Linked DNA regions of Cricetulus griseus. The protein of the gene in region 1 purifies or fractionates together with the protein of each later gene. This does not show direct contact. Links are inferred from orthologs where the notes say so. Each region holds a gene or a part of one and is shown in the gene's direction. Other genes may lie near its edges.

Region 1 (4,659 bases):
CCACTGGAGGAATCTCGAGCCATCAGGGAAGTGACTGAAACTGAGTTATAAAATGTGGCTCTGACTGCATAAGAAAGTCCCCAGGAGTGAGAAGGGGGATATTTAGTATTAATTCAGGCAACAAGTGGGGTGGAGAGCATAGAGAACAGGAGGGAAATTCAAAATCCACCTGGATCTATATATGCATGCATGCTGTGGCCCAGCTAATTCAACAATGGCCGCCTACCAACAACGGAAAGTCCAAGAATCCAGTGGGCTGGATTCAGTCAAGGTTAGATGTCTCAACTGGTCTTCAGTATTCATTGAAATCCTGAAGAAGTAGGCCCTAATGCCAGTGAACAAATGAACTTGCCAGAGTAGGAGCAAGCAGGCAAGGGCTTCCTTCCTCCATGTCTTTTACATAGGCTGCCACCAAAAGGTGTGGCCCAGATTAAAGGTGGATCTTCTCACCTTAAAAGATCCAGATTAAAGGTGGGTCTAACCACTTCAAATGATTCAATCAAGAAAAATCCCTCACAGGTACTCAGCCACTTGGGTTTCATGACTAGGCTTTTCTTGAGCACCATTTAAGGGTTCTTATAGCATCTCTGTGCTTATAGCATGTGTCAGACCATTGCTTTCTGTGGCTGAATTAATGTTCCTCTGTAAAAATGGAACAGCTATGGGCATCTGGGCTGTTTTCCTTGAAGTTGTCCGAGGAAGACAGGCAGCCCCCAAGCATGTAAGCCCAAAACCAGTTCCAAAATTTTCAAGGGGCCAGTACCCAATGACCGCGCCACACTTTGTCAGTAGCGATCAGGGGGTTTAGGCCAGCAGCAGCAACAGAGCACTGCTGGGGGGGGGGGGACTGTAAAAAACGTTTCAACGGCTTAAATCCTCCCCAGGGGGATTCCACTGGGTCATGGTAATCATATTTAACGAAATCAAGAATATTTAGCGCCACTCTAACTCTACAAATATCTCCAAATATTCCTTGGGGGGGGGAGCGGGAGGCGAGGACCAGGACCTGGAGCTGTCTCTACTTCAGAGCTACACTCCAGTCTCCAAAATACTTTTGGTCAAGCATTGACATTTAATAAGACAGGAGATTCTCGCCTGGCAAAGACCTATCCCAAGTTTTTAGGCACTGGGGTGTCCACACGCGCAGACCAAGAGCTACAAAGGACTTTCCCTACCGGGGGTCACGATCCGCCCGCTGCCAGCCTTTCCCCATCCCGGGAAGCTACCACCAGAAATCCAGAGACTCTGCGCACGCGCCGCTAGATGGCTCGCTAGAAAGCCGGCCGGCCTCGGTGGGCGTGCGCAGAAGCGGAGACTTGTGAGCGCGCGCCACGGAGGAGGGGCCTCAAGAGTCCGGAAGGAAGCGCGAGGAGGGCGGGGCTAGCGAGGGAAGCCCGCCGGCCCGCAGTACGGCCGTCGCGGCCTGATGACGTCGCACAATGGCCGGCCCCCGCGGGTAGTGGAGCCCGTTTGTTCCGCCCGCGTCGTGCCTGAAGCCAGAGTCAGTGAGAAGCGGAAAGGTCGAGGAACGTCTTGTCCACGCTGCTCCCATCTCAGCGGAGCCGTGGCCGCCTCCCGTCCTCGCGCTGAGGTAAGCGGGGCCGGCGGGTGGTAAGAAGGAGGCCGCCAAGCGGCGGCGGGAGCGAGGCCCGGGAGCCCGGCGCCGCCTCCCGAGCTCGGGCGCGCCCCCGGCTGTGCGCAGCCGCGGGTCGAAGCGCGGCCCGGGACAGCGGGCAGGCGCGAGCCCGCTGCGGCCTGGGACGTCCTGGCGACTTTAGCGCGCCGCGGTCTGCCATGGTGAAGTTGGTTTTCTGAAGCTGTCATTTCTCTTCCGGGCCACTCGGCGTGGCACATGTTCGCCGCCTACAAAGGGGAGTGAAGCACGCAGGTTGGCTGGGGAGGAGGCTCGCCTGGACTGTCGACGGGCTCTACGGGGAACTTTGAGCTCTCTGGAGCCTCCTGCAACAACATGCTCTCGCAACTTCAAGTGTGCACAGGTGCCCCGAGAGGTCCGATCTCTTAGGAAGTATAACCTCCTCACCTTTTGGACTGTGAGCTCAGAGACACCGAGTCTTTGGCGTAAAGTAGCCAAACAATTGTAGTGCTGGAAAGAAACTAAGACTTAAGTCTCGCTACTGCTGGAAATTTAGTTTTCCCCGTGTACATTGACAGCTGAGCTTACCGGACACAATAGTAGCTTTAAATGAGTTCTGTTTAGCACTTACTTGCAAGAGTAGGTAATTCTTCAGATCCATTTGGGGATAATGAAAGAGAGCATCTGGTTCATCTCCACATTACCTATCCCAAGGCAGGGGTTGGAGATTCTCAACCCCTAGGCTAATTTCCATTTCCCAGCCCCTGAGAGGAGAATGTGTTTGATCTGAGCACTTATGAAGCCCAGCCAGTTCTGGAACCAGTTCAATATGTCCCAAAGCCTGAACCTTCTCTCCAGTTGTAGGTGGGGAATACTAAAACATTTTAAGAGAACTTTGTGGATTTACTTCAGAACACTCAACAGGTAAGCTCTTGCCTTGCTCATTTTTAAAGAGCTATCTTGTCATTTACACACCATCTCAAGGTGACTACTCCTTATCAAAGAGTTTTTGGTTGAGCTTAAGTCAATTTGGAATTGTGCTTATCAACAATCCTGACATTCTTGCTGTATACACTGAAACGATGAATGAGGATTTTAAACAGGTATAATAGAACTTAGACATCAACATAGGATCTGCTCTGCTAAAAGTAGTTTCCCACAGCTGGGCAAGGTATACCACAACTTTAATCCCAGCCTTTGGGAAGCAAGGGCAAGAGGATCTCTGGAGGCTGACCGAGTATACATAGTGCCAGGACTACATAATGAGACTTTGTCTCAAAAGAGAAAGCAGTTTCCCAGAAGTTGTGCTTGTTATTGATCCACCTTTGCTGAAGTCCACTTGAAACACCTGTCTCAGTAGTAAGCATGTGAATTAATTGGTTTCATTTTAATAGCCACACACCCCTCTGGCTTTGGAGGCTGTCCTGAAACTAGCTCTTGTAGGCCAGGCTGGTCTCAGAGATCCACCTGCCTCTGCCTCTGCCTCCCAAGCGCTGGGATTAAAGGTGTCGGCCACCAGTGCCTAGCTAGGCCAGGCTCTTAAGTAGTTTGTAGCAGTTCCTCAGTGACCCAACTTTGAGGAGAATGTGTTGTTACTATTCTGCCGTTAGTGGTGTGGTTGAAGTCAGTTTGGCCTCCCAGAGCTGCTGCTGAGACAAGAGCAGAGGACAGGCTCTGGAGCTCTGGTTCTAGTGTTTTACAAATTAGGCAACTTTTTTGTTTTTAGTATGCAACAGGTAGTTCTTTGCTTAATGAGATTTTTGTCAATTATTTAACAAGTATTTTTCAGGTATGTCAAGTGCAGTAGGGGAAAGAAACAGTGAAAGACTTGAGTCATTCCACCCACTGAACAGGTTCACCACTTTGGATTGGAGGACTAAAGATTAGCTCTAAAACTTGTGAGAGTCCCACATTACTGAGTGATTGGCTAAGATGGGTTGGTCAAAGATTGTAAACATGGAAGTGTATTGAGTTGGACTGAAGGACCCTCAATTAATTGTTTACACTTGATAGGGCATATAGTTCCCTTCATCCAGCATAGGGTAACACACAATATTTGTCTCAGAACACTGGCACCTAGAGAGACAGTGAGCCTTCCTAGAGCAGGGCTGGAAATCAAGCCATCTCCTGATTCCCTGTATGATTCTTGCTCTAAAGGTATGATTTAGAGTGGTTTTTCAAAAAACACACAGATTTGTAGTTGTCCCTGAAACATGTTAACCTGAATGTGGCCTCCAGTAGTACAATCCTAGGAGGTCCCATGGGAAGGAAGAACAGTGCAGTGCCTTTTCTCAGAAAATCTTTCAGGGCCTCTGCAATGTAACTCTGCACCATGGCAGCCCTGATCATGCATCCTGTGGATGCTAATCATGGCCGCTGTAGTCTCAGAAGTGTCCCAGCCGTATAGTACAGTGTGTGGTGTATAGGCTGCTGAATGCCAGCCCTGTGAGAGCCTCTTATCCTTTCTCACTCTGCAGGATTGGGAAGAATATATGTTTTCCATCACTATGACAATGCATGAGGTGATGAACTCATACAGAGAAAAGATTTAAGTTGATGTAGTGGCACACACCTTTAATCACAACAATCAAGAGACAGGGAGGCAGATCTCTGTGAGTTTTAGGACAAGCTGGTCTACAAAAAGAGTTCCAGACAGCCAGGGATACATAGAGAAATCCTATCTCAAAAAGAAAGAAAAAGGGGGTGGCAAGAAAAGGTATATTTTGGCTCTCAGTTTGGTATATTGTAGAATCTAGACCATGTTCAGTTAGTAAGGTAGTGACCAGTGATAGAACAAAGGCGCTTAACCTCTCATTGAATACTGGAGAGCAAAGAAGACCTGACTACTAGGCCTTACCTGTTAAAAATTCCTATACCAAGATTCCTGTATCTCTTAGTAGTGTATCCCTAGGGACCAAAATGTTAACACTCAGGCTTTTGGAAATTTAAGATCCTGCCGGGCATGGTGGGAGGCCTTTAATCCTATCACTTGGATGGCAGAGATCCCAATTTATAACAGGGGTGAGGGGGATACCTCCCTAAACCCTTCAAATAAACTATTGGAA
Region 2 (4,213 bases), on another chromosome or scaffold:
TCTGCAGACATTTTTCTGATTTAGGTTTCATAAAACTCTTTTCTTCTCTTAACTTAATGTAGCTGGATCCATTTCAGTTTAACTGATGCATTTGGTATTACCTATGAAAGAGCAAGGGGTGAGGGGGTGGGGAAGGGGACCAGGTCACTTGAGCATTAGCAGGTTTTGGTGGCAGCGAAGTGCTGGCTGTGCTTTCAGTGTAATCACATTGCCTGTGCCTGGTACATTGTCCTGCAGATGTGCAGATTAAAGGGCTAAAGGTCTTATGACTGACAGGGACTTCAGAGAGGTTGCTTTCACCTCATCTCATATGCCATCATGATGTTATTAGCGCATGCAACCAATTTACAAAGGTTTTGACGCTTATAAGGCTGACTTCCAGAGTGATTGCTGCAATATGCTGCACTGTGTGACTTAGTTTAGTTTAGTTGTGTGATGTTTCTAAGTGGTTTTCAAACATAGCTGTGTATCTTCTCATCTGAAATGTTCATCGCCTCATTTGTGAAGCACATGTGGTTCTATGACAGACTTACAAACTATTCCTCCATTTCTCTTTCTTCTTTCCTCCATTTTCTTAATTTTTTAGTCAGTGCTTTGAGAGAGGCTGTTTTCAGGACAAGTGTCTTATATATGAACAGCTTATCCTATGCCCTGTAAGAGTCAGTTGTGTGTTTGCATTGCAGAAACTTTTTAGAAACGTCAGAGGTTTAGTTTTTTGAAGTTGGGTAATTATTAAAAGACAGTATTATTTCATTTTGCAAATGAGATTGTCCAAAGGTACCTGTTTTCCTCTGAATATCAATTTTGTTTTGTTTTGTTTTAGTGAGTACAGCTCCACAGCAAAAACCTGTAAGTATTTTACATGTATATTCAGCAAAAGAGACTATTCAGTGTTGAGCTTCACAAACTATGTAGCAAATGTTCTAATCTTTATTAATTTAAAAGTTGGCATGTTTATAAATGCTCTGTTCTCCCTCTCCCCAAAAAAGCTTGACTTTTTGTGTGGGACTAGTCAAAGCTATTATAAGACCAGTCTCTTCCTGTGCTCCCTGGGCTGCATTTGGCCAAGTTCAGTGAATTGCAAGGTTTTAGATTAAGTTTAAAAGAACCGTTTTAAAATTACTTCTGCTTGGCCTCCAAGTATCTTCTTTGACAAAACCCTTTTAATTTTTTTATAGTTAGCTGTGTAAGTGAGCATTATATATTCTGTGGATGTGCTGTCTTAAAAGAGAAGTCAAGTCTGGTGAATTGTTGCCAGAAAATCCAAATCACTTTTCTTTTTCTTTTTCTTTTTTTGGTTTTTTGAGACAGGGTTTCTCTATGGCTTTGGAGGCTGTCCTGGAACTCGCTCTTGTAGACCAGGCTGGTCTGGAACCCACAGAGATCCGCCTGCCTCTGCCTACTAAGTGCTGGGACTAAAGGCATGTGTCACTACTGCCCGTCGCAAATCACTTTCATAGTTTTACCCTGATCTAAGGATTTGGGCTTATGGGTCTTTGAAACTTTAAAGGTATTCATTGCCAGTATTTTCTAAGACATATGGCTGTAGCTGAAGGTAGGCAAAACTGTGGCTTTTCTTTTTTTGTCCTTTTATATTATATGTTTATTCCTGAAAGTTCATGTTATATTGCCTATCAGTCACAGCTTGGTATTAAGAGCCAAATGCAGACAGTGCTGTTTGCCACCTGTCTTGGTAGGTGTTTGTTTTTGTTGTTAAGAGTGAGAGTCATTCTGGATATAGGCAGCAGCAAAGAAAGGTTGCAAGAGATTCTTGTTCAAGGTGCTCGGTTCTAGACTTTCTAATGGAAGTTATGCCCCCTTAATGGCAAGACCAACAACATGAGCACAATCCTATCCTAAGGTAGAGTTTGTGATCATAACTGAGTATGATATGAAAAAGCAGAGTTGGAATTTGCCGTGTTGCCAGCACTTACACTCCTAAACAATGTTTTAAGAAGCAGCACCTAACCTATGGTACTTTCTTTACCATGTTGTAGATAGGAAAAATATCTAAAAACAAAAAGAAAAAGCTGAAAAAGAAACAGAAGAGGCAGGCTGAGTTGCTGGAGAAACGCCTGCAGGAGATCGAGGAATTGGAGCGAGAAGCTGAAAGGAAAACCATAGAGGAAAGTGTTACCACTGCCGAGCCATCCAATGAGCAAGATGATGGGTGTCACCTGGAGGGGAAACTAAAGGAAGCAGAATTCGAGGAGGCAGCTGAAGGAGAGATAGCAAAGGATAATGGTTAGTACAACTGGGAGCAGGGGGGAGGGCTAATGGGTGGGTGTCATGGAACTGCACGAAAGGCCCAGCCAGTGTGCCACACAGGTTGGCTTCATGCTGCTGCCTCAGATGTTAAGGACAACTTTCTCTAACTCTTGTTGGAGATTATGGGAAGCAGCCTATACGCCATCGGTAAAATGTATGCTAGGCATTATGTTGACATTTCAAAGTAGGTTTTCAAAAAGGGAAGAAGAAAGTCCAAGAAACATGTTTTTTTCCTGTTAATGATGCCCCTTATTTTATTTTGTGACTGACCTTTTGCCTAGCTTTAATACACCACAAACCTTATTCTAAAGCTGTAGAGGAAAGGGTTAGTGACTCAAAAAAATGGATCAGTGTTCCTGCAGAGGAACCAAGTCCGGTTCCCGCAGCACTTGTGTCCTGTTGCTCACAACTCCCTGTGACTCCAGCTCTAAGGCCATAGGCATGCGCGCGCGCGCGCGCGCGCGAGCACACACACACACACACACACACACACACACACACACACACACACACACACACAATTTACAGTGAAAATCTTAAAGATCAAGTACAATAACCATCTGAGGAAAGCAGTGGGGAGGGTTTGAAATGAAAATCCAGTTTTGCTTAGCATTTTACCCCCCAAACCAACTTGTTCCTGAAAATATAAGGCTAATTATTAAATAAGCAAAAAATAGGGTTTAGAAAGCCATTTTTGCCTTTTAAACCAATAGACATGTTCTGTGGTATATTAGAAGCATCTCTTAGTTGGGTATGATAGCAGATGCCTTTAATCCCAGCACTTAGAAGGCAGAGGCAGGTGGATCTCTTAAGCCTGGTCTACAAAGAGAATTCCAGATCAGCCAGAGCTACAGAGAGAAACCTGTCTGGAAAAACTAAAACCAGAAAAATACAAAGCAAAGTATGTCTTGTTGAAGAAGCTAACTAGTACTGCTTTGCAAGGAGAGTCATGACTCCTAATTTTAACCCTATGTTTGTTAAGGTGAAGCTGAAGACCAGGAAGAAAAAGAAGATGCAGAGAAGGAAAATGCTGAGAAGGATGAAGATGATGTTGAACAGGAACTTGAAAACCTAGACCCTACATGGATGGAGTCCCCTAAAGCCAATGGCCATATTGAAAATGGTCCATTTTTATTGGAACAGCAGCTGGAGGATGAAGATGATGATGAAGATGACTGTGCAAATCCTGAGGAATATAACCTAGATGAGCCAAATACAGAGAGTGATTATACGTATGGCAGCTCCTATGAACAGTTCAATGGTGAATTGCCAAATGGACAACACAAGAGTCCAGAGTTTTCCACATCATTGTTTTCTGGGCCCTTAGAACCTGTGGCCTGTGGTTCTGTGCTTTCAGAGGGATCACCACTTACTGAGCAAGAGGAAAGTAGCCCATCCCATGACAGAAGCAGGACAGTTTCAGCCTCTAGTACTGGAGATTTGCCAAAAAGTAAGTGTCCTTGTATCTCTCTCTCTGTTTTCACTGAGCAGGGTCATACCTTTGATAAACACTGTGAAAAGAGTTGGCTAAAGGGGAAGAGACACTTTAAATATGCACTAATCCTTTAATTTCAGTGCTTTTGTATTCAAGAACAAATGGAATGCTTTAGCTGCCAGGGTTTCCCTTACTCTCTGAAGTCCTATCCCTGGACATTTTTCATTTATTATATATTCAGTGATATCAAATACTTTTGAAACACCTTCACCACTAACTACCTTATGGGTTTCTACATGAAACCCTTTTCTAGCTGCTGCTGCTGCTGCTGCTGCTGGTGGTAGTGGTGGTAGTGGTGGTAGTAGTATCTTTGGGTTTTGTTTTTACTCAAGGGAACACCTGCTGGTTTTCAGCTATACCAACAGACAAGTTGAGTTTTATTCAATGGTTGTCCTTGTTTATAGAATTCTGCTTTTGATAAAGCATGATGACAGATTATACATTCTTAGG
Region 3 (4,213 bases), on another chromosome or scaffold:
AGTTCCCCACAAATTGTTTCTGATTGCCACAAATGTACCATGGCACACAACCACACATGATGGATGGGTGGGTGGATGGATAGATGATAAGAGTTTTTTAGAGAGAAAGAGATGAGTTGGTTTTTAAAATTTTTTTAAAAATTGATTTGTAAAATAGGCATGGTGGGTATTTGATATCTCAGGGGCACAATACATTCTTGATTCTGTGGTAGGTACCTAACAAAACAGTTCAGTCCTAGATGCAAGTATTTATTGAATAAATGAAAGAAATCTGTTTTGTGGTTCTGTGTGTGAGTTCATTTGTTCTTCCTTCCAGGGTCCTGTTATGCCAGGGAGTCATTCAGTGGAGAGGTTTGTCATAGAGGAGAATCTTCACTGCATCATAAAATCCTACTGGAAGGAAAGGAAAACTTGGTGAGAGTCTCTTCATGGTACTTGTAAAGGGGGTAGGAAACCATTTTGATGATTTTATAAGACCAAAATATATGTTGGGCATGTATAAGACTGGAGAGATAGCCTGGCAAGCATGAGGAGCATCGTTCAGGGGCCCAGAACCCATGTAAACAGTTGGCACTCACCTGTATCTCAGTTCTGGGGATGCTGGGACAGGAGTATCCCTAGAGATTGCTGTCCAGCCAGTCATAGCTGATCTGTGAACCCCAGGTGTTATGTATATGGGTATTTTTCCTGCATGTATGTCTCTTGCATCACTTGCGTGTCTGATGCCCTCAAAGGCCAGAAGAGGGCTTTGAATCACTTGGAAAAAGGGTTCCAGACAACTGTGAGGTGCTGTGTGGTTGCTGGGAATGGAACCCAGGTCCTCTGTAAGAGCAGCCAGTGCTCTTAACTACTGAGCCTTTTCCAGTCCCTGAACCTCAGGTTTAGTGAGGGGCCTTGTATTAGAAGTAAGATAGAGGGGCTCAGAGGTTCAGAGCACTGGCATGTCTTCCAGAAGTCTTGAGTTCAATTCCCAGCAACTATAAGGTGGCTCAACCATCTGTAATGAGATCTGGGGCCCTCTTCTGGCGTGCAGGAATATATGCAGACAGAACACTGTATACATAATAAATCTTAAAAAAAAAAAAAAAAAAAAGTAAGATAGAGAAGCAGTTGAAGAAGGCACTTAACACTGACCTCTTGACCTCTGACTTCCACATGCCTGTTCATGCACACACGGGTACATACATTCCAAATATGCTAAAATTGAATAGTAGTCTGATTTTAGTTTGGATGTATGGAAATTAAAGCGTACTAATGCTTTTTTTCTGTTTTCTAACATTCAGAAACCTGAGTATTAATACATTTTCATAAAGCTGGAAACTTTTGGCTTAGTTTTTGAGGAGAAACATTGTATTGAAGAGTGGAACACCTGTAAGAATGTGCTAAGTTAGTAGATCTGCAGGTGCTGGTGTTAATTTCCTTTTTGTATGTAAGACAAACAATTCATACCATGTTAATAACTGAACACTAGAACATTACAGCAAAGTTCGTTTTTCAGCTAAGCTCACTGCATTTGAAGCTGGTAGGGTTTGTGTGTCTTGTACCCTTACTAACTGAAGTCAAACTTCTTACAGTGCTGCACAGCTGGTGAGCTATCCAGGGAAGAATAAGATCCCCTTGAACTACCACATAGTTGAGGTATGCATTTCATGCCGTTCTAACTCTGTTTTCTTAGTCTGTCTGCGGACGGTTTGTCTGTGCGCTCCTTGCTACTTATCAGGCTCTGAGAATGAATAGAGAAACAAGGAAATCTCCACAGTTTGTGTTCTCAATTAACCTTGCTAGTAAAAAGAACGGAGATTGAAATACAGAGCGTTTACCTGTTGAGTCATCTTGCTGGCCTCAGCTTCCCTCTCCCTCCTCTCTTCCCCTCTTAAGTGGCACACGCCTTTAATACCAGCACTTGGGACGAAGAGGCAGGTGGATCTCTGAATTTGAAGCCAGCCTGGTCTATAAATCAAGATCCAGGATAGCCAGGGCTACACAGAGAAACCTTGTATCAAAAAACAAAAACAAAAAGACTGGGTGTCATCATATCACCCAACCTGACCTGGAACTACGACCCGTCTGCCTTATCCTCCTGAGTTGCTGGGACTCTAGGCATGTGCCATCATCACACATGGCTCTAAGTCATATTTTTAAATCTCAGTAGCAGTATAAAATACTCAACTGTCTTGATCCCTGGTCCACCAAGAGTTCTCAATACCCACAGGAATTCTGCTCCATTGGTTGAGCCCCTAGATAAAATGCCTCCCTCAGTCAACTCTGAGACTTCAAAGGATAGATTATTGTACATTGTCTCAGCAGTAATGGGTCACAGCAGCTTTCATCTAATGGACTCTTTGTGTATAAAAGGGGGCTGCTCATTATGTTGTTGAATTGGAGGTCTCAGAAAGCATAGTTTTTCAGAATAAAAGGGAATTCTTTTTCCATTGTAGGTGCCATTGAGTTTAGGATTAGGCTGTAATGTGTGGGTCCTTACGATGTTTCTGACTCCGAGTTGTTTCACAGGTGATTTTTGCAGAGCTGTTTCAGCTTCCAGCGCCCCCTCACATTGATGTAATGTACACTACACTGCTCATCGAACTGTGCAAACTTCAGCCTGGCTCTCTGCCCCAAGTTGTATCCTTTCGTGCTGTTAAATGTACACTGTTGGTTGTGCTTTTTAGAAGATTGCATTATGAAGCTGTCTTTTCTCAGTTTCACCTTTATGTTCCTATGCTTTGGGTTTTAGCGATAATGGTTTCATTTATTTTTAAGTAAATAAGACTTGGGACAAAATGCATGTTTGTAAAGTTAACATATAGCATCTGCCCCTGCTTAAAACAAATGGGGCGCTATAGCTTATACACTCCTTTGTTTTCCCCAGCAGGATCCTGCTCATTTCACACCACACTAATAATGCTGGTATTATTCCCTTGCCTTTTGTTTGTTTTCTAAGATAGCCCAGGATGGCCTCACACCCAGGATGATCCACCTGCCTCAGCCTCCAAACTGCTGGGATTAACAGGTTTGAGGCCATATCCGCTATTCCTTTGCCTTTTTGTTGTTACTTTTTGTTGGGGGGTGGGTTGGCTTTTGGTTTTGGTTTTAGTTTTTCAAGATAGGGTTTCTCTGTATAACAGCCCTACCTGTCCTAAGAACTTGATTTGTAGACCAGGCTGGTCTTGAATTCACAGAGATCCCCCTGCCTCTGCCTCCCAAGTGCTGTGATTAAGGTATGTACCATCAATGTCCAGCTCCTTGCCTTTTAAAATAATGGGTTTTTTTGTTGTTGTTTTTAAGAAAATGTATATTCTGCCTTTTCAGGACTTCAGGTCTTCTATAAGCCCATTAGATAAGTTCTATTCATTGTATTATTTGAATAAATAGTTCCCTATCTCTGTGTGTGCCTGTATGTGTTGTGCTGCTTCTATGAGTTACTAGGAATGATATTAGTCTGCCATTTGTTCATTTCTCTAGTTCCATTAGCTTTGCTTTGTCCATATTTGGTATAAATATGCTCAGATTTGTTATGCCCTTTGTGAAATAAGCTTTTTTACCACTCTTGAGTGGTTTTAGCTTATAGGTATGTTATGTGGCTTTTATCTTTAAAAGGCCTTGTTTTTTTGTTTATTTTTGTTCTTTTTTAGATGGGTGTGTGTGTCGTGTTTTGGTTTGGTTTTTGGAGACAAGGTTTCTCTGTGGAATAGCCCTGGCTGTTGTAGAACTCACTAGACTATACTGGCCTTGAACTCACAGAAATCCACCTGCCTTTGCCTCCCAAAAGTGCTAGGATTAAAGGCATGAGCCACTGCCAGGCTAGATAATTTTTCATACAGTATATTTTGATTATCTTCTGTCCTCTTTCCCAACTCTTCCCAGTTCTTAGCCAATCAACTTAATGTCTCCCTTAAAACAAAAACAGAAAAAATGAAAATCCAAACAAACTTTGAGGGGGAAAGGAGGAAGAACAAAACATTAAAACAACACACACACACACACACACACACACACACACACACACACACACACACACACACACACACACACACACACACACACACACACACGAATTTGTTTTGTTAGCCAGCTACTCCTGCACATGGGGCTTGCCCTGGAGTATGGTTGATAATACCCAGTGACACTGCATCGGGGAAAACTGCTTTCCTCTTCCCCAACAGGTATCAATTACAAGTACTTTCTTGGAGAGGGGTCAACTTTGTGTCCACAT
Region 4 (4,839 bases), on another chromosome or scaffold:
CAGAGAGAGAGAGAGAAAGGTGCAGGGGCCTATCTTTTAAAGGGGTCCTCTGCACCTGCGTGCAGACTTCTTTCCCATGGAACCTTGGGCTGACCAGGGTATTGCCTGAGTGGATTCCACCAGGTAACAGGGGCAGGCCAGCATAATGCCTGAACCTTTCAACTATGACTTAGGGCCTGGAATTTGCCAGCTTACAAGGCCATAAGATAACTGGGTACCAAGAATTCCCAGATGGCCACCCTCCCCAAGGGGCTCATGGAGGAGACAGATTGCCCCACTGGCCAATGTGTCAATAATTAACAATTAAGGGTCCCAATGAAACAAAGAGATAGCTACCATTTGCTCAAGCAAGATAAGCATATTCTGAGGTCTGCAGGTTTTACAACTGGTGGGTCAGGAGGCCATCTGATTCCCAGCCCTCTCCTCAATACAAAGGGCCTCTTAGGAACCCATGACTCTGGTGATGCCCCTCCTTAAGCTTGTGGTTTTTGCCTTTAAAAACACCTGTGCCTGGGGGACAGGGGTGCTCTCTAGCCTGCATGCTGAGAGAGTCCGTTTGTACAAACGTCCACCTTTCATTAAAGCCTCTTGCTGTTTGCATCAAGTTTCCGCTTCCTCATGGTGATTGGGGTGGTCGAGGTCCTGGGAAAAGATTCTGGAGGCCTGAGCTTCCGGGGGTTCTTACACTAATTCTGCTAGTACCGTGAGAACACTTCAGTAGCTCTCCTGTAGTAAAGCACACCACAACCTTATAGACCATGTGTGTCATTACTATATGTCCAGAAGCAACCAGGAATGCTAGGAGTGAGTCCTGGAAAAAAAAATCAGCATTATCTTGCTTGCCAACTATCTCTGGGGAGAACATTAATTGCTCTGGACGTCACCTGCCTCTAGGGATCCGGAGGTCACTTCTGCAGGCAAACAAGTCTCAGACTTTAAAGAGCTCAACGTCCCCAGTCTCCAGGTTTTTCCTCCAGACACAAGTGAAGGATTTAGAAATAGGGCAGAAAGGAGTGTTTCGGAAGATAAGTAAAGCAGGATGAGGTAAGATTTCTGTACCCATATGAATAGTTTGGTCGTTTTCAAGGCCCAGTCATTTTTCCCACTAATCACATCGTATTTGCGTTTTAAGGGTCTACAGAATTATAAATACCCAGCGTCATAACTGTTGTTTAATACTACACCCAGAAGAAGCCACAGTGATCAAGGGAACCTTGAAGAAGGGTGAAATACATCTTTACCTTCCTAAATGACAAACAGCTGAAAACAGCCACAAGATGGCTGACAAAGCGCTAAAGAAAACAGCGCAAGGGCGAAACCCCGTCTCCTGGAGGAAGTCGCACAAACGCGGGCCCTTCCGCACTATTGGCTGGACGTCCTGTCTTTTCCCTTTGCCATTGGCTACCTGTTCCTTCTCAAGTCAAAACAGCCAATCGCCGTTTCCCTGAACAAAGCCCACCCTTCCGTGGATGGGGCGGAGCGTCCGTAAAGGCGCCCGGGCTCAGGGCGCATGCGCAGGCGCTCCGCACCGTGCCGGTTAGAAGCGGATCTCCTCGGGAGGCGGTGCCGTGGTCCATGAATATTGATTACGCACCGGGGCCCCGTGCGCCCGCCCCTCCTGACTGCCGACGCTCGCTGCTCGCGCTCGGGCTCGCGATGGGGAAGAAGTCCCGGGCGGTACCCGGCCGCAGGCCCATCCTGCAGCTCTCTCCACCGGGTCCTCGGAGCAGCACGCCGGGCCGGGATCCCGACCCCGATCCGGATCCTGAGGCTGACTCGACGGCAGCGGCGACCAACCAGTCAGCCCCGGCGGCTGCGGCTGCGACGGCGGCGGCCGCGACGTCGCCCGCGGTGCCTTCCACTGCTGCTCCAGAGGACTCGCCTTCGGAAGGTAAGGGCGCGCGAGGTGCCCCTGCCTGTGTTTGGGACGTCCGAAACTCGAGCACGGGGCTTGAGGCCTAGGCCTCCCAGTGAGGAAGAGTGACCCTGGCGGGCGAGATACGCCTGGGCTGCCTGGGACCTGGAATCCGCGGGACTGTGACCGTGGACTCTGGGCAGCGGAAGGCCCGGCCGCGCTCATCTGAGGCGCCATTGCGGGTGCAGGGTTTTTCCCCGGGAACCTGTGCAATCCACCGAGGCCTGGCACCCCAAATGTCTCCCACATGACCCCCTACGATCTTGATAACGCAGAGGGAGGAGGAGGGCAGTTTCCACGTGGAGCATTGAAGCAATTGAGCCTAGCCTTCTCTGCTTGTCACACTTGGTTTCGGTTTTGTTGAAATTGAGACAGCCACTCTTTAGAAGGAAACAAACCCTTTTTTTCTTTATGCCAGACAAAGCATCGGTGCCCCCACCCCCCCGCCGACTTGTAGAAAAGTAACAAAGCCTGTGGGTTTCCCTGGAACTGTATTTGGGTTAGGAGTAACAATTCCTACCGGGTGTAGATGCGGGAGAAGCTGTACCATTATCAAGTAGCAAGAACATACTGTGTGGAAACCTACAGATTTATTTATGCGTTTTAATTGTTGAGTATTGCAGGTGCCATTTTCATATAAATGTTCAGGTTACTGTCGATGTCACTTAAATGAATGGAAGATTCTAGATCCCCCCCCCCCCGAGTTTGGACCAGTGATACACACTGGTTTTGGTTTTGTAAGTTGGTGAAATCCAGGCCTGAAAGGTCAGATTTTTATTTTTGTCTCTGCCTCTCGTGTTTTCTCTGGTCCACCGACTCACTGCCGTTTCCTTTTGTTCATTTCAAATATAGATGAACAGGAAGTGGTGGTGGAGGTTCCCAAAGTTGTTCAGAACCCTCCCAAACCAGTCATGACCACCAGACCCACAGCCGTTAAGGCAACAGGTACAGGTTTCTGTTGTTCTTTTACTCTTCTCTAAAATTTCTTTCATTAAGTTAAAATTGAGTGTGTGCCTGGATTGTCTGTTGGATGGTTGTGTTGCTAATTTACGGTTTCCCGTAAAAAGTAATTAAAGTGTTTCTGGGGTTGGAGTTGTGGTAGAGTATTTATTTGCTTCAAAGATGCAAGCCTCTGGGCTCCAGTCTTACAGAAAAATAGATTAACAATTTTGGTATTTTGAAACAGGGTTTCTCTGTGTAGCTTTGGAGCCTGTCCTGAAACTTGCTCTGTAGACCAGGCTGGCCTCGAACTCAAAGAGATCCTCCTTCCTCCTGAGTTGCTGGAATTAAAGGCGTACATCACCACAAACTTTAAGTAACAAGGATGTTTGTTTATTTTCGGCTTATTTAGTTACTGCTATACCCCAAATCGGTTTGTCTATGTGTGCACACACACAGGCAGACAAGATTGCATGCTTCTAAGGCTGTACCACCTAACTTGTTTATTTTTAAGTCAGAGCGTCTCAAGTGATCCTGAACTTTAGCTAGGCTGGCTAGACAAACCCCCCCCTCTCCAAGTGGTACTTTTCTGTACCACTCCACTTCACTCCCAGCACTGTGGTTATAGATGACTGCATCAGCCAAAACATGGTACAAGGGATCTGAATGCAAGTCCAAATTTATTTTACAAACTGAGCCATTTATCTACAAGTTTTTTGGCCATTTGGTGTTTTTAAGGGGCACCAATTATGCCTTATTTTTCATTTTGACTATTTATTGATTTATTTATTCGGTTGGTTATGGTTTTTGTTGTCATTCTTTTCAGACAGTGATTCATGGTCCAGGCTGGCCTAAAACCTTGTATATAACTGAGGCTGGCTGACTTTGACCTATTGCTAACTCCTGCCTTTACCTCCCAAAGTACTATAGTTATTACAGGTGTGCTCCACCACACCCCACTCATTTAACACTGCCTTGGTTGGTACCAATTAAATATTTGTGAAGCTGAAAATTCCTTTTCAAATATCCCCCACCCCATACAGTTGGCAGTCCTATTGTGCTGTAATATTTGTGGCAATGGTTATATTGGCAAACCTGAGTTCAAATCATTATTCTAACTTTCACTCATGACAGTTGTTGGGCTGAAACTTACTCATCTATAAAATATGTCTACTACTATAGACCTAAATTGCTTGGGGTATTAAATTTTACATATATATCTTCTTAAATTATATATAAATTAATATAAATTATATATGTATGTTTATTTCAGACATTAAAACAGCAAGATTGTTTTCTGTATTTTACATGTATTGAAGATTAAAGTTTTTTTAAGCTTTACGTATTATGTATACAATGTTCTGCCTGCATGTATACATTCAGGCCAGAAGAGGGCACCAGATCTTATTACAGATGGTTGTGAGCCACCATGTGGTTGCTGGAAATTGAACTCAAGACCTTTGGAAGACGCCGGGTGGTGGAGTTGCACCCTTTAACCCCAGCACTAGGGAGGCAGAGGCAGGTGGATCTTTTATGAGTTCGAGACCAGCCTGGACTACAAGAGCTAGTTCTAGGACAGCCTCCAAAGCCACAGAGAAACCCTGACTCGAAAAACCAATAAATGAATGAATGAATGAATGAATGAATACCTTTGGAAGAATAGCCAGAGCGCTTAACCACTGAGCCGTCTCTCCAGCCCCCTAGTAAAATGTCTTTTAAGAGTAATTTTATTTTTACATTTTCTGTTTTTATTTATAGGTATGTGTCTATGTAAGTGCAATGTGTGGGAGCTTGAGGAGGCCAGAAGAGGATGTTAGATCCCACAAAGCTGGAGACACAGGTGGTTGTGAGCTGCCCAACATGGGTGCTGAGAACTAAACTCTGATCCTCTGGAAGAACAGCTATCTGTCAAGCACAGATTAAAATATTTTAATATTAAATATCATTACAGAAACTTTATTATTAGTCTAAGATGAGATCTTTGT
Region 5 (4,213 bases), on another chromosome or scaffold:
AGAAAAATGAACCCCTTCAGGCCATGTATATGAGGTGCTTATAGAAAATAATGACTTTCAGGTTTAGACATCTGGTGCATCTCATTCATCATGTATATGAAAATATTCCAAAATTAGACATACTTCTGGTCCCAAAGCATCTCAGAAAAGGGCTAGTCAGCCTGGACCTAGTTGTAGGGTGCTGAGAAGAAAGACCTTGTGACTACAGAGGCCATCCAGAAGTTTAGCGGGTTTCTCTTCCCTACTTCAGGCAGAAACTACCTCCCGAGCAGATCCTCGGGTGAGAGAGGTAGTAGGTGTCTTTTGAAGTCACCAGGTTCTCACAATTGAGCAGACGTGGTTTGTGCTGGTTTGTTTTAACTGTGAGATGGCTGTTTCAGACTCTTAGATTGAGGCTGCTTTTGTATATACCAGGTTTTCTTCTTAATATTTTAAAATGTTTGTGTCTCACCTCTAATCCCAGAATAAGTTCAGGGCCACTCAGGGATACAGAGTGAGACCCTTGTCTCAAAAACACAAAGTGCTCCCCCACAAAAAAAGTTTTTGATAGCTTCATACAAGTATATGCTATTTTTTAGATATCTTCGTCTCCCCTTACTCTTTCATTTCCCTTGCCTCTTCCATTGAAACCCTTTTCAATAAGGTCTCCTCCTTTCATTTCATCTTTTGTGTGGCCCTACTGTGTTTGTTGGAGTTGCTTACACAAACATGGGATGAGAGATTATTTACTGGAGTGTGGCCAACCTGTCAGTGACTACACCACTAAAGAAAATGACACCCTTACCTAAGCCACCCTTCACTGCCAGTATTTCCTCAAGGAGGAATGCCCATCCTCCATTTGTGATGAACTGCTAATGGGTCCAGTATTGTGTAGGTAACCACAGCTGCAGTGAGTTGATGAGTACAAAGGCTTTGTTGTGTCCAGAAGATGTCTTTTTGCTGTACATTTCCCCATCTTCTGGTTCTTACATTCTTTCTACTCCCTGGCCTATAAATATTCACTGAGCCTTGGAAGGGGTGATATGAATGTCCTCTTAAGGGCTGCACATCACCACTGCCATTTACCCTTGACATGCGACCGGTCTTTGCATTTGATCATAGTCCCTGCTTTAACTGCCACAAAGTTTAATAAGAAGTTGCTCTGTTGAGAACCAATCATGATATAAACATTGAACACTTTAACAATATGACTATCTAACAAAAGAGACAAAAAAGGTGACAGGTTCCCCCTAGAGCCTATGGCACTTGCAGCTCTTGACAAGGTTTACAGTACCACTTACTAGGTTTTCATGCACATTTACTACAAGAGAGTTTGCGGCTGTGAGCCTGGAGCCCTTTGCCAACTCTGGAACACTAAAGTTTCCCCTTGTGAGCATAGTTGCATCTTGGTCTGAAGGCAATGCCCTGAAGCATCATTGGAGGCACCTTGCTATGTTCTATCCTCACAGGTGTGCTATCGAGTAGAATGGGCCAAATTCCAGGAGCGTGAGAGAAAGAAGGAAGAAGAAGAGAAAGAGAAGGAGCGGGTGGCCTATGCTCAGATCGACTGGCATGATTTTGTCGTGGTGGAGACAGTGGATTTCCAACCCAATGAGCAAGGTAGGTAGGTCGAGAAGAGAACGCCTCCAGGAACTCTGGCGCTCCCAGGGAGCTGCAGAACCAGGCACAGGACTTCATTACTGTTTTTTCCCTCTGTTTCAGAAGGGGAAACATCGTTCATTTGCCCAAGTTAAATGCAATTCATCAGCTGGTTACCATGTTAGACTCTGATGTCCTCTGCAGATAATAAAATTAGACAATTCCTAGTCTTTGGGTAGCTCACAGACAGGACAAGGAATTTCTTCTTGTTATTGTGTTCTTTGTTTTTGTTTTTTTCTTTTTTCTTTTTCTTTTTTTTTTTTTAGGAGACAGGGCATATTAATCAGGGTTTTCTAGAGGAACAGAACTGATAGAATGAATCTGTATACATAAAAGGGGAGTTTATTAGAGTGACTTACAGGCTGTGATCTAGCTAGTCCAACAATGGCTGTTTCTAGACAGAAAGTCCAGGAGAGTGGATGTCTTAGCTGGTCTTCATTATCTTTGGAATCCTGACTAGGGAAAGAATGCCTCAGTAGCAGGTTGGCAAGCTTTCCATCAAGAGTCAGGGCAAGTAGGCAAAAAGCAAAATCTTCTTTCCATGGCTTCCAAAAGAAGGTGTGGCCCAGATTTAGATTGGCTCTTCCCTAAAATGATTAGTCCAAAAAAAAAATTTCCTCACAGGTCCAGCTGCTTGGGTTTTAGTTAATTCCAGATGTAGTTAAGTTGACAACCAAGAATAATCATCAAGCTAGGTCTCTGTAGCCCTGGCTATCCTAGAACTGGTGTAAAACCAGGCTGACTACAAACTTACAGAAAATCCACTTGCCTCAGCGCTCCTTCCAAGTGTTAGGAATGAAGGTGCTTGACACCATACCCAACTCAGAATGCTTTTGACCCCGTCTTACCCCTTTTAGGAAACTTCCCACCCCCAACAACACCAGAGGAATTGGGAGCCCGAATCCTCATTCAAGAGCGCTATGAGAAGTTTGGGGAAAGTGAGGAAGTGGAGATGGAGGTTGAGTCTGACGAGGAAGATGAGAAGCAAGAAAAGGCTGAGGAGGCTCCTTCCCAACTGGACCAGGATACTCAAGTACAGGACATGGATGAGGTAAATTCTCAGGTGGTTTTAACCTGATCTTTCTCCTGGAGACCAGGAAGTTGGGGGACGCTCTCCTGGTCTAAGGTTCCGCTCTTTGAGACTCAAAAGATTTTGAGTTCTGGAGAAGGCCAGACTGGCTGCTGCTGTTTTAAGTCCAGGCAGCCCAACACACTCCAGCAACAAAGACCAATTCATAGGAAAGATCTCGAAGCTGTGCCAGCCTTGTAGTCTATTGCTTTCCCTTTGGCTTGGCATCCCTGATCCCAACCCACCCTCCACCAGCCCTGTTAAGGGATCCATATCACCCTGTGTTTTGATGCCTTTCTAGCACTCAGGCCTAAAGGATCACTAGTTCCCAAGCTTGTCTAAATGTAGCCTACACGTCCTTTCAGACATTTCTACCCTCTTCCAGCATAGTCCTCCAAGTAGGCACAGAATCCTGAGCCAAGCTGCTTTCCCTGTTCTGAAAGAATTTGTGTATAGCTTGAGAAGAAAGGGCCCCAGTGTCTGTGGGAATTGACTTTTTCTCTCCCTCCCAGCATTGCTCTGGGAGCAGCTACCATTGAGCGCTGACTTGGCTCCTGTATTCTTCTGTGTGTTAAGTGCCTTTGGCCTCTTGGGATTGCCTGGTGCCAGCCGCTGGAAATGCCTGGGAGGAGTGTTAGCACCATGGTCCCTGATGCTCCCATTCATGTTGTGAGGAAACAGCTTGGCTTGCTGCCAGTTGACCTCAGCTGCTCCAGAAGGCTTAGCACATGGATGCTGGCTGCAGGGACCAAGGCTCCTTGCCACCCTGAGAGCCACAGTCTTGAGCTTTGGGGACGCACCCTTTCATCTCCTGAGTTATGCTACTGCTTTGCTTTTTAGGGCTCAGATGATGATGAAGAAGGACAGAAAGTGCCTCCACCCCCGGAGACACCCATGCCTCCACCTCTGCCCCCAACTCCAGACCAAGTCATTGTGCGAAAGGACTATGATCCCAAAGGTAGGGCCTGTGTCCCAGTCCTTGTGCTGCTAAAGAAAGTCCTGCATGGTCTTGTGTGTTCTTCAGGTGGGCTGTTTCTAGGAGGGCTTGAGGTAACCCCTAGGTTACAAGCCTTTTGATAAGAAACTAGAGTGTAGTCATTTCCAGTTTCAGGTTTCTGGTGTAAAAGTGGCACTAAAGAGATGTTTCCAGTGAATGATGTTTGAATGTATTGCTTTCTTAACCTCAGCTACTATCCAGAATTCTCACTTAGTTATCTGTTTCCTTTTAGCTTCTAAGCCCCTTCCTCCAGCTCCTGCTCCTGATGAATATCTTGTATCCCCCATCACTGGGGAGAAGATTCCTGCCAGCAAAATGCAAGAGCACATGCGTATTGGGCTTCTTGACCCCCGCTGGCTGGAGCAGCGGGATCGCTCCATCCGAGAGAAACAGAGTGATGATGAGGTTTATGCACCAGGTGAGCGGGAGGTTCCCAGCCCATAGCTTCCTTTATGTAGACACAGAACAGTTGAGGTCAGTGAGAATTTGGGAGATAGGTGCAGCCTATG
Region 6 (3,878 bases), on another chromosome or scaffold:
TGCCTGATTCTTGAATAGTTTTTGGATGGATTAAGGGCTAATCTTAACAACCTTCTGTAGAATAATGGTTTTAATTATGTCTTCTATAGATTTTATTTAGGTAAACCTAAAATATTTTATTTTGGGATTCTGCTTTTTAATCAAATCATTTTTTCATATTCTAGGACTGCATATGTGCTAGCTGATGTCATGGATGACCAGTTAAAATCTATGTGGTTTACTCCATTTCAGGCTGAAGAGATTGATACAGATCTAGATTTGGTATGAAGGATTTTATTACTAACTTTTAGAAAAAGTTGGTTTCTGTTTGCTTCTTTTTGTGTTGGTAGCATTCTAATAGTTTTTATAATATACTCCTTTTTTCTTTTTTTTTTCCTAGACAGGGTTTCTCTGTGTAGCTTTGGAGCCTGTACTGGAACTTGCTCTGTAGACCAGGCTGGCCTGGAACTCACAGAGATCCACCTGCCTCTGCCTCCCGAGTGCTGGGATTATAGGCATGTGTCACCAGTGTCCAGCTTATAATATATTCTTAAGGTCCATTTGAGGGCAGAATCATGTATGTCTGTGACAGTCGCCCACTTACTGAAATCTAGAACTCATTTTTTTCATCCTGTCCATTTTGCTTCAGGCTAGTTTGAGATTGTGATGAGGGAAAAACATTACATTCTTGCATACATCCTCTGAAGCACATGGTCTTTTTATGCTGGTGGGGCAGACACAGCTGTTTGTTCTTCACTGGGTTCAAGGAGAGGATGGTTTGGTCTCTTCTGGGAACTTGTAGAGTGTATTATAGTATTAATGTAATTGATGTTCTTAATGCTGTCGGTTCAAGAGTGTAAAGACCTACTGTTTGATGCTTCTCAGAGGTGTATTTCTGTAGAATTTTAGCCACATCTTACTGCACTTCTATATTGGTTATTTTCTTTATCAAAGAAATCTGCTTGGGTATTCCCTTGTCCAAAAGATACTAGTGTTCATCCTGAGTAATGGAACTGAAAGAATGAAGCAATTTGTATTTAATATATGTTTAGTGTAATGAGAGCTGCTTTTCCTTTAAGAAAAAAAATACACATATTATAACTAAAAGTGCATTAAAGAATTTATTTTTAGTTTTTTTTTTTTTTTTTTTTGATTCATTAGAACTGTGCTGTCCAGTAAACTCTGTATAAGAGTAGAAATGTTCTGTGCTTTTCCAGCTTTGGAATAGTAGCCAGTAGCTTTGTGTGACTGTTAGAAAATTAAAATTTAGTAGTGTGACTGAAACACTGAATTTTGGTTAGACATGGTGGCTTACCATGAGAAGGTAATAGAATTTGTAGGTAATGGCAGTTTCTGTAGTGAAAGTTTCAGGAACTTAAATTTAATGTATTTTATTTTATTTTTATGACTGCAGGTAAAGGTTGACTTGATTGAACTTTCTGAAAAGTGCTGTAGTGACTTTGATTTGCACTCAGAATTAGAGCGCTCATTTTTGTCAGAGCCGTCATCTCCAGGAAGAACCAAGACTACTAAGGGATTTAAACTGGGGAAGCATAAGCACGAGACGTTCATAACTTCAAGGTAAAATTCATTCCATGGCAGACCTTATTTTAAGATAGACACATATCTGTAGCTCCCCTCCTCTTTTTGTTTTTCTGAATCAGGGTCTCTACTATGTAGCTCTCTGGCTGTCCTAGAACTTTTTCTAGGCTGTCCTTGAACTCACAGAGATCTACCTGTCTGCCTTCGAGTGCTGGGATTAAAGGCATGTGCCACCTTGGCTGGCATAATTGTAATCGGAGATTTTAAAGTGAGTAATTTGTTGGGGCATTACTAGTACATTCTGTTTGTCTGTCGTTGCTGCTGTTGCTGGGGTTTGAACACAGGGCATTGTACTTCCTGATTCCACTGAGCCCTCATTGTACTGTTCTTCCTTTGAGCAAGAAACAGACTGCCTAGATTGTTTAAAAAATATTAGTCTTACCAACAAACAAGCATACTTAGTTTGCTATATTATCACAGAAAGTAATATTACTGAAACAGTTCCTGTAAGTAGAGGCATCAAAGATGAGATTCCATTTTTAATATTGCAAAGATGGACACTTTCACTGGAAAACTGAAAAAGAAACATTTTCCCATAGAGTGCTTTTATCTTAACAGTGGAAAATCTGAATACATCGAGCCTGCCAAACGTGCTCATGTTGTGCCACCACCAAGGGGCCGTGGCCGGGGCGGATTTGGACAGGGCATCCGGCCCCATGATATTTTTCGTCAGAGAAAACAGAACACGAGTAGGCCACCGTCTATGCACGTGGATGACTTTGTTGCAGCTGAAAGTAAAGAAGTGGTCCCTCAAGATGGAATACCCCCACCGAAACGGCCACTTAAAGTGTCACAGAAGATTTCCTCTCGAGGTGGATTTTCAGGCAATCGAGGAGGACGGGGTGCTTTTCACAGTCAGAACAGGTTTTTCACACCGCCTGCTTCAAAAGGTAACCACCTGTGTATGTCTCCTGTCGGGCTGGAGTAGCAAACATGTAACCCAGATAGAACATTTCTCTCTTCCTACAGTTAAGCTGCCTCTGTCACTGTTGAGTACTGGTAAAATAAAGCAACAGACATCTCTCTTGTTTACTTCCCTTTGCTATGTTGTACTTTCTGTTATGAGGAGTGCCTGCCTGCCTGCCTGCCTGCCTGCCTGCCTGCCTGCCTGCCTGCTGCCTGCCCTGCTGCCCTTCCTTCCTTCCTTTCCTTCCTTCTTCCTTCCTTCCTTCCTTCCTTCCTTCCTTCCTTCCATCCTTCCATCCATCCTTCCATCCTCCCTCCTTCCCTTCCTCCTTCCCACCTTCCCTCCCTCCCTCCCTTTCTTCCTCTCATGTTTCTCTGTGTAGCGATGGCTGTCCTGGAACTCACTCTGTAGACCAGGGTGGCCTCAAACTCACAGAGATCCACCTGCCTTGGCCTCCTGAGGGCTAGGATTAAAGGTGTACACCACCAGCACCTGGCTCCCCCCTCCTTTTCTTTTTACTGTTTTCCTTTTTACATTGGAAACAAACCTTCTGAATCCCAGATGTATCACCACACCAAGTTGAAAAAAATTTAATATTTTATTTGTGTGGCTATTTTGCTTGCATGTGTGTCTATATGCTACATGTTAGGAATCCAGACACACACACACACATTCATTCTCTCTCTCTCTCTCTCTCTCTCTCTCTCTGAGTCCAGACTAGGTGGGCATTGGATCCCTTGGAACTAGAGTTACAGGTGTTTAGGAACTGCTGGTATTTGAAGTATGGTTCTTATGATTGAATGGCAACTGCTTTTACCTGCTGAGCTGTCTTTCCAGCCCCTATATTTTCTTTTAATGTTGTATTTGGTTTATTTTAAATTGTCTTGAGTTTTTGAAACTGACTATACTTATAGATATTACTCCTTTGTTATTGTTGTTTTTTTTTTCATTTTATACAAAGTGTTGCTATTTACCAAGATTCATCCCAAACTTGTGACCCTCTTGCTTCAGCAAGTACTGAAATTACAGGCATATGCCACTATGCTGGCTTCAGAGATCAGTCTCGTCTCTCCTTCTCTCCCTCTTCTCACTCCCTCTCTCTCTCCTTTGCTCTCTTTCTCTCTCACTCTCCTCCACTTCTCTTTCTTTCACACTCTATTTTATTTGAGACAGGGTCTTATATAATATCCTTTATGTATTGTCTATAACGAGGCTGGCTTCAAATTTACTATGTAGTCAAGGAAATCTTGTGGTCTTAACCTCATGAATGCTGGGATGACAGACATGTGCCACCACAATCCAGCCAGGTTCTTTACTGGAGAACTGATGACATGTTTGTATCTGTTGAGTTAGGGTATGAATGAAGAGGAATCAGAGTTTGCATATTATA
Region 7 (4,213 bases), on another chromosome or scaffold:
ACTTGCTAGCTAATAAATTACAAAGATGTCTTTAAGTGTAAATGCTACTATGTTGTCTTTCATTGTGTAAAGCCAAAGCAGTCCTGCTAAAGTGTGTTATAACTCTCTTAGGTCCTTCCCCCTCCAGCTGGTTATGTTCCCATTCGAACTCCAGCTCGAAAGCTGACAGCAACACCCACACCTTTGGGTGGCATGACTGGTTTCCACATGCAAACTGAAGACAGAACTATGAAAAGTGTCAATGACCAGCCGTCTGGGAATCTTCCATTTTTAAAACCTGATGACATTCAGTACTTTGATAAACTATTGGTAAGTGATGCTAACAGAAATAAAGTATTATTCTTTGTTTGGGAGTTACAAATCACTGTCTTGATCCACCTTTACATTTTATTATAGGTTGATGTTGATGAATCCACACTTAGTCCAGAAGAACAGAAGGAGAGAAAGATAATGAAGTTGCTTTTAAAGATTAAGAATGGTACACCTCCAATGAGAAAGGTAAGTTCTGTTTTTATTGTTTTTTGAAACAGGTTCTCTGCATAGTCCTGATTTTCTGGGAACTCACTGTGCAGACCAGGCTGGCCTGGAACCTATAGAAATCACCTGCCATTCTGGCTTTCAAGTGCTGCAATTAAAGGTGTATGCCACCTTTAATAAACAATAATAGAGGTGTGTGCCACATCTGACTCCCTAGTTCCAGCCCATAAAATTGTTTATTTATTTTTGATTTTTCCAGGCAGAGTTTAGTTTCTCTGTAGCTTTGGAGCCTGTCCTGTAACTAGCTGTGTAGATCAGATTGGCCTCGAACTGACAGATATTGCCTGCCTCCGGAGTGCTGGGATTAAAGGTGCATGCTGGTGCACGCCTTTAATCCCAACACTCCGGAGGCAGAGGCAGGCCTGGTCTCCAGAGTGAGTGCCAGGATAGGCTCCAAAGCTACACAGAGAAACCCTGTCTCCAAAAACAAAAACAAACAAAAAGACACTCTGTTCTGGTTACTGTTTTTGTTTTTTTATGTGGTCTCTGATACATTGCCTTAAGCTTGATCAGGCAGGCCACTCTTATTCTGGAGTGGCTGCTTGGGATTACAGACTTTGGCTCTAGACTCAGTGATTGAATTATTTTTATCAAAGGATTTTTTTTGTTCTGATAAGGACATGAGGATGTTAAATTCTTTTTGTCCTTGACAACTTGAAAGTGCTTAGAAATAGAGGTGGATTAGTGGAAATTATGTGAGTTCTATTAGCACCAAATGTGGTTTGACTATAGAAGGCTCTTCAGGCTCAGCCAAGATATATGGTATACACTTATGTGGTTCTATAGCTCTACTAAATTATCTTTTCAAAAAACATGAGCATGTATACAGGGTGATAACTTGCAGGAATCAGTCGTTTCTTTTCATGAAGTGAGTTCTGGGGATTGAATTCAGATGATCGTCAGGCTTAGTAGCCAGTACCCTTTGTCCTCTGAGGAATGTTACAAGCCCTATAAATTACCCTTTTTTCTTTTATTTAGTGTATACATGCATGAGTTTGCGTGTGCAGTCAGGCAGGTGGATGCATACTTCAGAGTAAACAGAGAGGTCAGAGGACAGCTTTTGGAAGTTGGTGCTTTCCTTCCATTGTCTAGATCCCAGGGTTTGAAGTGGGTGTCATTGAACTTGGTGATAAGCTCCTTTTTACCTCTTAGCCATCTCACCTGCCACTAAATTAATTACCTTTTTTGAATGAGCTGATAACATTAAACTTGAGTCATGTGAGTTTAAACATTAAAACAATTTTGACAAATGAATTCTTACTACTATATGTAAATTGCCTGCATAAGTATACATTAAAATATTCCTGTTGAAACTTGCCCCATATGAATGCTTGCTCATAAAAGAAAATTAATATTTTCATTTCCTTCTGCTTTTCCCCAGGCTGCCTTACGTCAGATTACTGATAAAGCTCGAGAATTTGGAGCTGGACCTTTGTTTAACCAGATTCTTCCTCTGTTGATGTCTCCTACGCTTGAGGATCAAGAACGTCATTTGCTTGTGAAAGTTATTGATAGAATATTGTATAAACTTGATGACTTAGTACGGCCATATGTGCACAAGGTTGGTTTGTTCCCCAAGTAGTGTTCAGTGGTTTAATTTTTATTTTGGGGGTTCTATTTTCCACTGTCTGGAATCTGGAAGTTCCCTCCTCCCCCAGGGTGGAGAGGCATTGTTTGAGATAGGTCTTTCTTTGTTGCCTTGTAGACCAGGCTGGCTTCTAAACTCACAGAGATCTACCTGACTCTGTCTCCTGAGTGCTTTTATCCATCACTGCCCAGATGTTCAATATTTTTAAATTTTCAATATAAAAAGTCAGGTTTATTTTACCAAATTGTCTTTGTATTTATAAAAACTTACTTTATGTATATGGATACTTTGCCTGCATTACTTGCATGCTTGTTGTCTTGGAAGCCAGAAGAGGGCATTGGAACCCCTGGGACTGGATTTACAGATATTGGATCCACTGGGACTGGATTTATAGATGTCTGAGTAACCATGTGGCTGCTGGGGATTGAACCTGGGTCCTCAAGAAGAGCAGCTAGTGTCTTTACTGCCAAGCCATCTCATCTCTTCAGCTCTTTTCCTTTTATTTTTAAAAGTTAAAAAACTTTAGTTGATTCTATACAAGCATAGTCTAGAAAATTTTACTATTTATAGTTTCCTTAGAGTTAATCAGTGTTGAATTAGTCTGTCCTGTGATCTTGTAGGGGTTTTGAGAAAGGGTCTCACCAAATTATTGAGGTTTGCCTTGTGTCTATGTATGTATGGATGTATGCTAACTCTAGTACAGGATGTGCTGCTGCCCAGGCAGTTCACAATTAGGTGGGTGTTTGCAAGGCATTCTCAGTGGTTTTAGATCCTGCCAAATTGACGATCAACAGTAATTATTACAACCACCGATCTCTTTTTTCCTTTCAGAAGCATCACATTTATAAATATAGGTATATGTAAATGGTTTTTGCTCTCTTTACTCTTGTAAGAATTAGAATAGGTATTTTATTTTGTATCAGAATAAAGAATCAATATTATGACTGCTTATATATTTCTAAATATAAAATGTTAGTTTATATTTAATTTTCACCTATATCTAGGGCTTGACAGTATGGAATTAAAATTCTTTAACCTACCCATCGGTTAACAAAGTTCCTTGATAACTGTAAGTTGGTGTGGAAACATAATTCCTTGTGTTTTTTTCAGATTCTTGTGGTTATCGAGCCATTGCTGATTGATGAAGATTACTATGCTAGAGTGGAAGGCCGAGAGATTATTTCTAATTTGGCAAAGGTATTCACATTAAGTTCCTAGAAGAGGAAGTTTGTCTTTTGATGTGTGGAGGATTAATGGTATTAACTGAAGCTATTGTATCTTTTCTCTTTAGGCTGCTGGTCTGGCCACTATGATTTCTACCATGAGGCCTGATATAGATAACATGGATGAGTATGTCCGAAACACAACAGCTAGAGCTTTTGCTGTTGTAGCCTCTGCTCTGGGCATTCCTTCTCTGTTGCCCTTCTTAAAAGCTGTGTGCAAAAGCAAGAAGTCTTGGCAGGCGAGACACACTGGTATTAAGATTGTACAACAGATAGCTATTCTTATGGGCTGTGCTATCTTGCCACATCTCAGAAGTTTAGTTGAAATCATTGAACATGGTAAGTTTTATCTTTTATAGATCAGACTGTCCTGAATTTTTGTTTACTGTTTGGGATGTGGGGAATAACTGAAAGGGCTTCCCCATACAAATGCTTTATTTTTGAAATGGGGTTTATAATATTTTCTGTTAATAAACTGCTTTTGCTGAAATTTTATCTACTGTAACATTTCTCGCAGTTTGGATACAAGGTTAGATACAATGATAAAGTTTGGATTGTATTGTGAAAATTAGGTATTGGTGCCTGCTCACACCTGTGTTTGATTGTATAGGTCTTGTGGATGAACAGCAGAAAGTTCGGACCATCAGTGCTTTGGCCATTGCTGCTTTGGCTGAAGCAGCAACTCCTTACGGTATCGAATCTTTTGATTCTGTGCTCAAACCTCTATGGAAGGGTATCCGCCAACACAGAGGAAAGGTAAACCCACTCAATAGATTTTGGTTTTGTTACTGTTAATTAGGACAAGCTAAACTTAATTTACTGATGTGTGTGTATTTTTATACATTTTATTTTTAAATAGGGTTTA

The links.
Region 2: the proteins of Zc3h18 (region 1) and Srpk2 purify together in Homo sapiens (affinity purification with mass spectrometry; 3 studies listed by BioGRID and IntAct, with this or other methods). This does not show direct contact. The link is inferred for Cricetulus griseus from reciprocal best matches to the Homo sapiens genes ZC3H18 and SRPK2.
Region 3: the proteins of Zc3h18 (region 1) and Ncbp1 purify together in Homo sapiens (co-immunoprecipitation; 3 studies listed by BioGRID and IntAct, with this or other methods). This does not show direct contact. The link is inferred for Cricetulus griseus from reciprocal best matches to the Homo sapiens genes ZC3H18 and NCBP1.
Region 4: the proteins of Zc3h18 (region 1) and Fnbp4 purify together in Homo sapiens (affinity purification with mass spectrometry; 3 studies listed by BioGRID and IntAct, counting the BioPlex papers as one, with this or other methods). This does not show direct contact. The link is inferred for Cricetulus griseus from reciprocal best matches to the Homo sapiens genes ZC3H18 and FNBP4.
Region 5: the proteins of Zc3h18 (region 1) and Sf3a1 purify together in Homo sapiens (affinity purification with mass spectrometry; 3 studies listed by BioGRID and IntAct, with this or other methods). This does not show direct contact. The link is inferred for Cricetulus griseus from reciprocal best matches to the Homo sapiens genes ZC3H18 and SF3A1.
Region 6: the proteins of Zc3h18 (region 1) and Virma purify together in Homo sapiens (affinity purification with mass spectrometry; 3 studies listed by BioGRID and IntAct, counting the BioPlex papers as one, with this or other methods). This does not show direct contact. The link is inferred for Cricetulus griseus from reciprocal best matches to the Homo sapiens genes ZC3H18 and VIRMA.
Region 7: the proteins of Zc3h18 (region 1) and Sf3b1 purify together in Homo sapiens (affinity purification with mass spectrometry; 3 studies listed by BioGRID and IntAct, with this or other methods). This does not show direct contact. The link is inferred for Cricetulus griseus from reciprocal best matches to the Homo sapiens genes ZC3H18 and SF3B1.

What each region holds. Positions count from the first base shown.
Region 1 is NC_048596.1:199,022,641-199,027,299, forward strand, and holds the start of Zc3h18 (zinc finger CCCH domain-containing protein 18), read left to right. Parts: upstream 1-1,449; 5' UTR 1,450-1,591; intron 1,592-2,452; exon of another isoform or gene 2,453-2,518; intron 2,519-4,659.
Region 2 is NW_023276806.1:171,082,956-171,087,168, forward strand, and holds part of Srpk2 (SRSF protein kinase 2), read left to right. Parts: intron 1-823; coding exon 824-849; intron 850-1,997; coding exon 1,998-2,244; intron 2,245-3,250; coding exon 3,251-3,718; intron 3,719-4,213. UniProt on the Homo sapiens protein: Serine/arginine-rich protein-specific kinase which specifically phosphorylates its substrates at serine residues located in regions rich in arginine/serine dipeptides, known as RS domains and is involved in the phosphorylation of SR splicing factors and the regulation of splicing.
Region 3 is NC_048595.1:97,267,567-97,271,779, reverse strand, and holds part of Ncbp1 (nuclear cap-binding protein subunit 1), read left to right. Parts: intron 1-316; coding exon 317-414; intron 415-1,574; coding exon 1,575-1,638; intron 1,639-2,511; coding exon 2,512-2,622; intron 2,623-4,213. UniProt on the Homo sapiens protein: Component of the cap-binding complex (CBC), which binds cotranscriptionally to the 5'-cap of pre-mRNAs and is involved in various processes such as pre-mRNA splicing, translation regulation, nonsense-mediated mRNA decay, RNA-mediated gene silencing (RNAi) by microRNAs (miRNAs) and mRNA export.
Region 4 is NC_048599.1:86,026,183-86,031,021, reverse strand, and holds the start of Fnbp4 (formin-binding protein 4), read left to right. Parts: upstream 1-1,554; 5' UTR 1,555-1,575; coding exon 1,576-1,891; intron 1,892-2,767; coding exon 2,768-2,860; intron 2,861-4,839.
Region 5 is NW_023276807.1:100,716,178-100,720,390, reverse strand, and holds part of Sf3a1 (splicing factor 3A subunit 1), read left to right. Parts: intron 1-1,448; coding exon 1,449-1,599; intron 1,600-2,495; coding exon 2,496-2,689; intron 2,690-3,547; coding exon 3,548-3,665; intron 3,666-3,936; coding exon 3,937-4,122; intron 4,123-4,213. UniProt on the Homo sapiens protein: Component of the 17S U2 SnRNP complex of the spliceosome, a large ribonucleoprotein complex that removes introns from transcribed pre-mRNAs.
Region 6 is NC_048595.1:125,649,562-125,653,439, forward strand, and holds part of Virma (protein virilizer homolog), read left to right. Parts: intron 1-164; coding exon 165-261; intron 262-1,393; coding exon 1,394-1,560; intron 1,561-2,139; coding exon 2,140-2,471; intron 2,472-3,878. UniProt on the Homo sapiens protein: Associated component of the WMM complex, a complex that mediates N6-methyladenosine (m6A) methylation of RNAs, a modification that plays a role in the efficiency of mRNA splicing and RNA processing.
Region 7 is NC_048595.1:409,446,459-409,450,671, reverse strand, and holds part of Sf3b1 (splicing factor 3B subunit 1), read left to right. Parts: intron 1-111; coding exon 112-309; intron 310-396; coding exon 397-498; intron 499-1,918; coding exon 1,919-2,098; intron 2,099-3,235; coding exon 3,236-3,322; intron 3,323-3,416; coding exon 3,417-3,687; intron 3,688-3,958; coding exon 3,959-4,104; intron 4,105-4,207; coding exon 4,208-4,213. UniProt on the Homo sapiens protein: Component of the 17S U2 SnRNP complex of the spliceosome, a large ribonucleoprotein complex that removes introns from transcribed pre-mRNAs.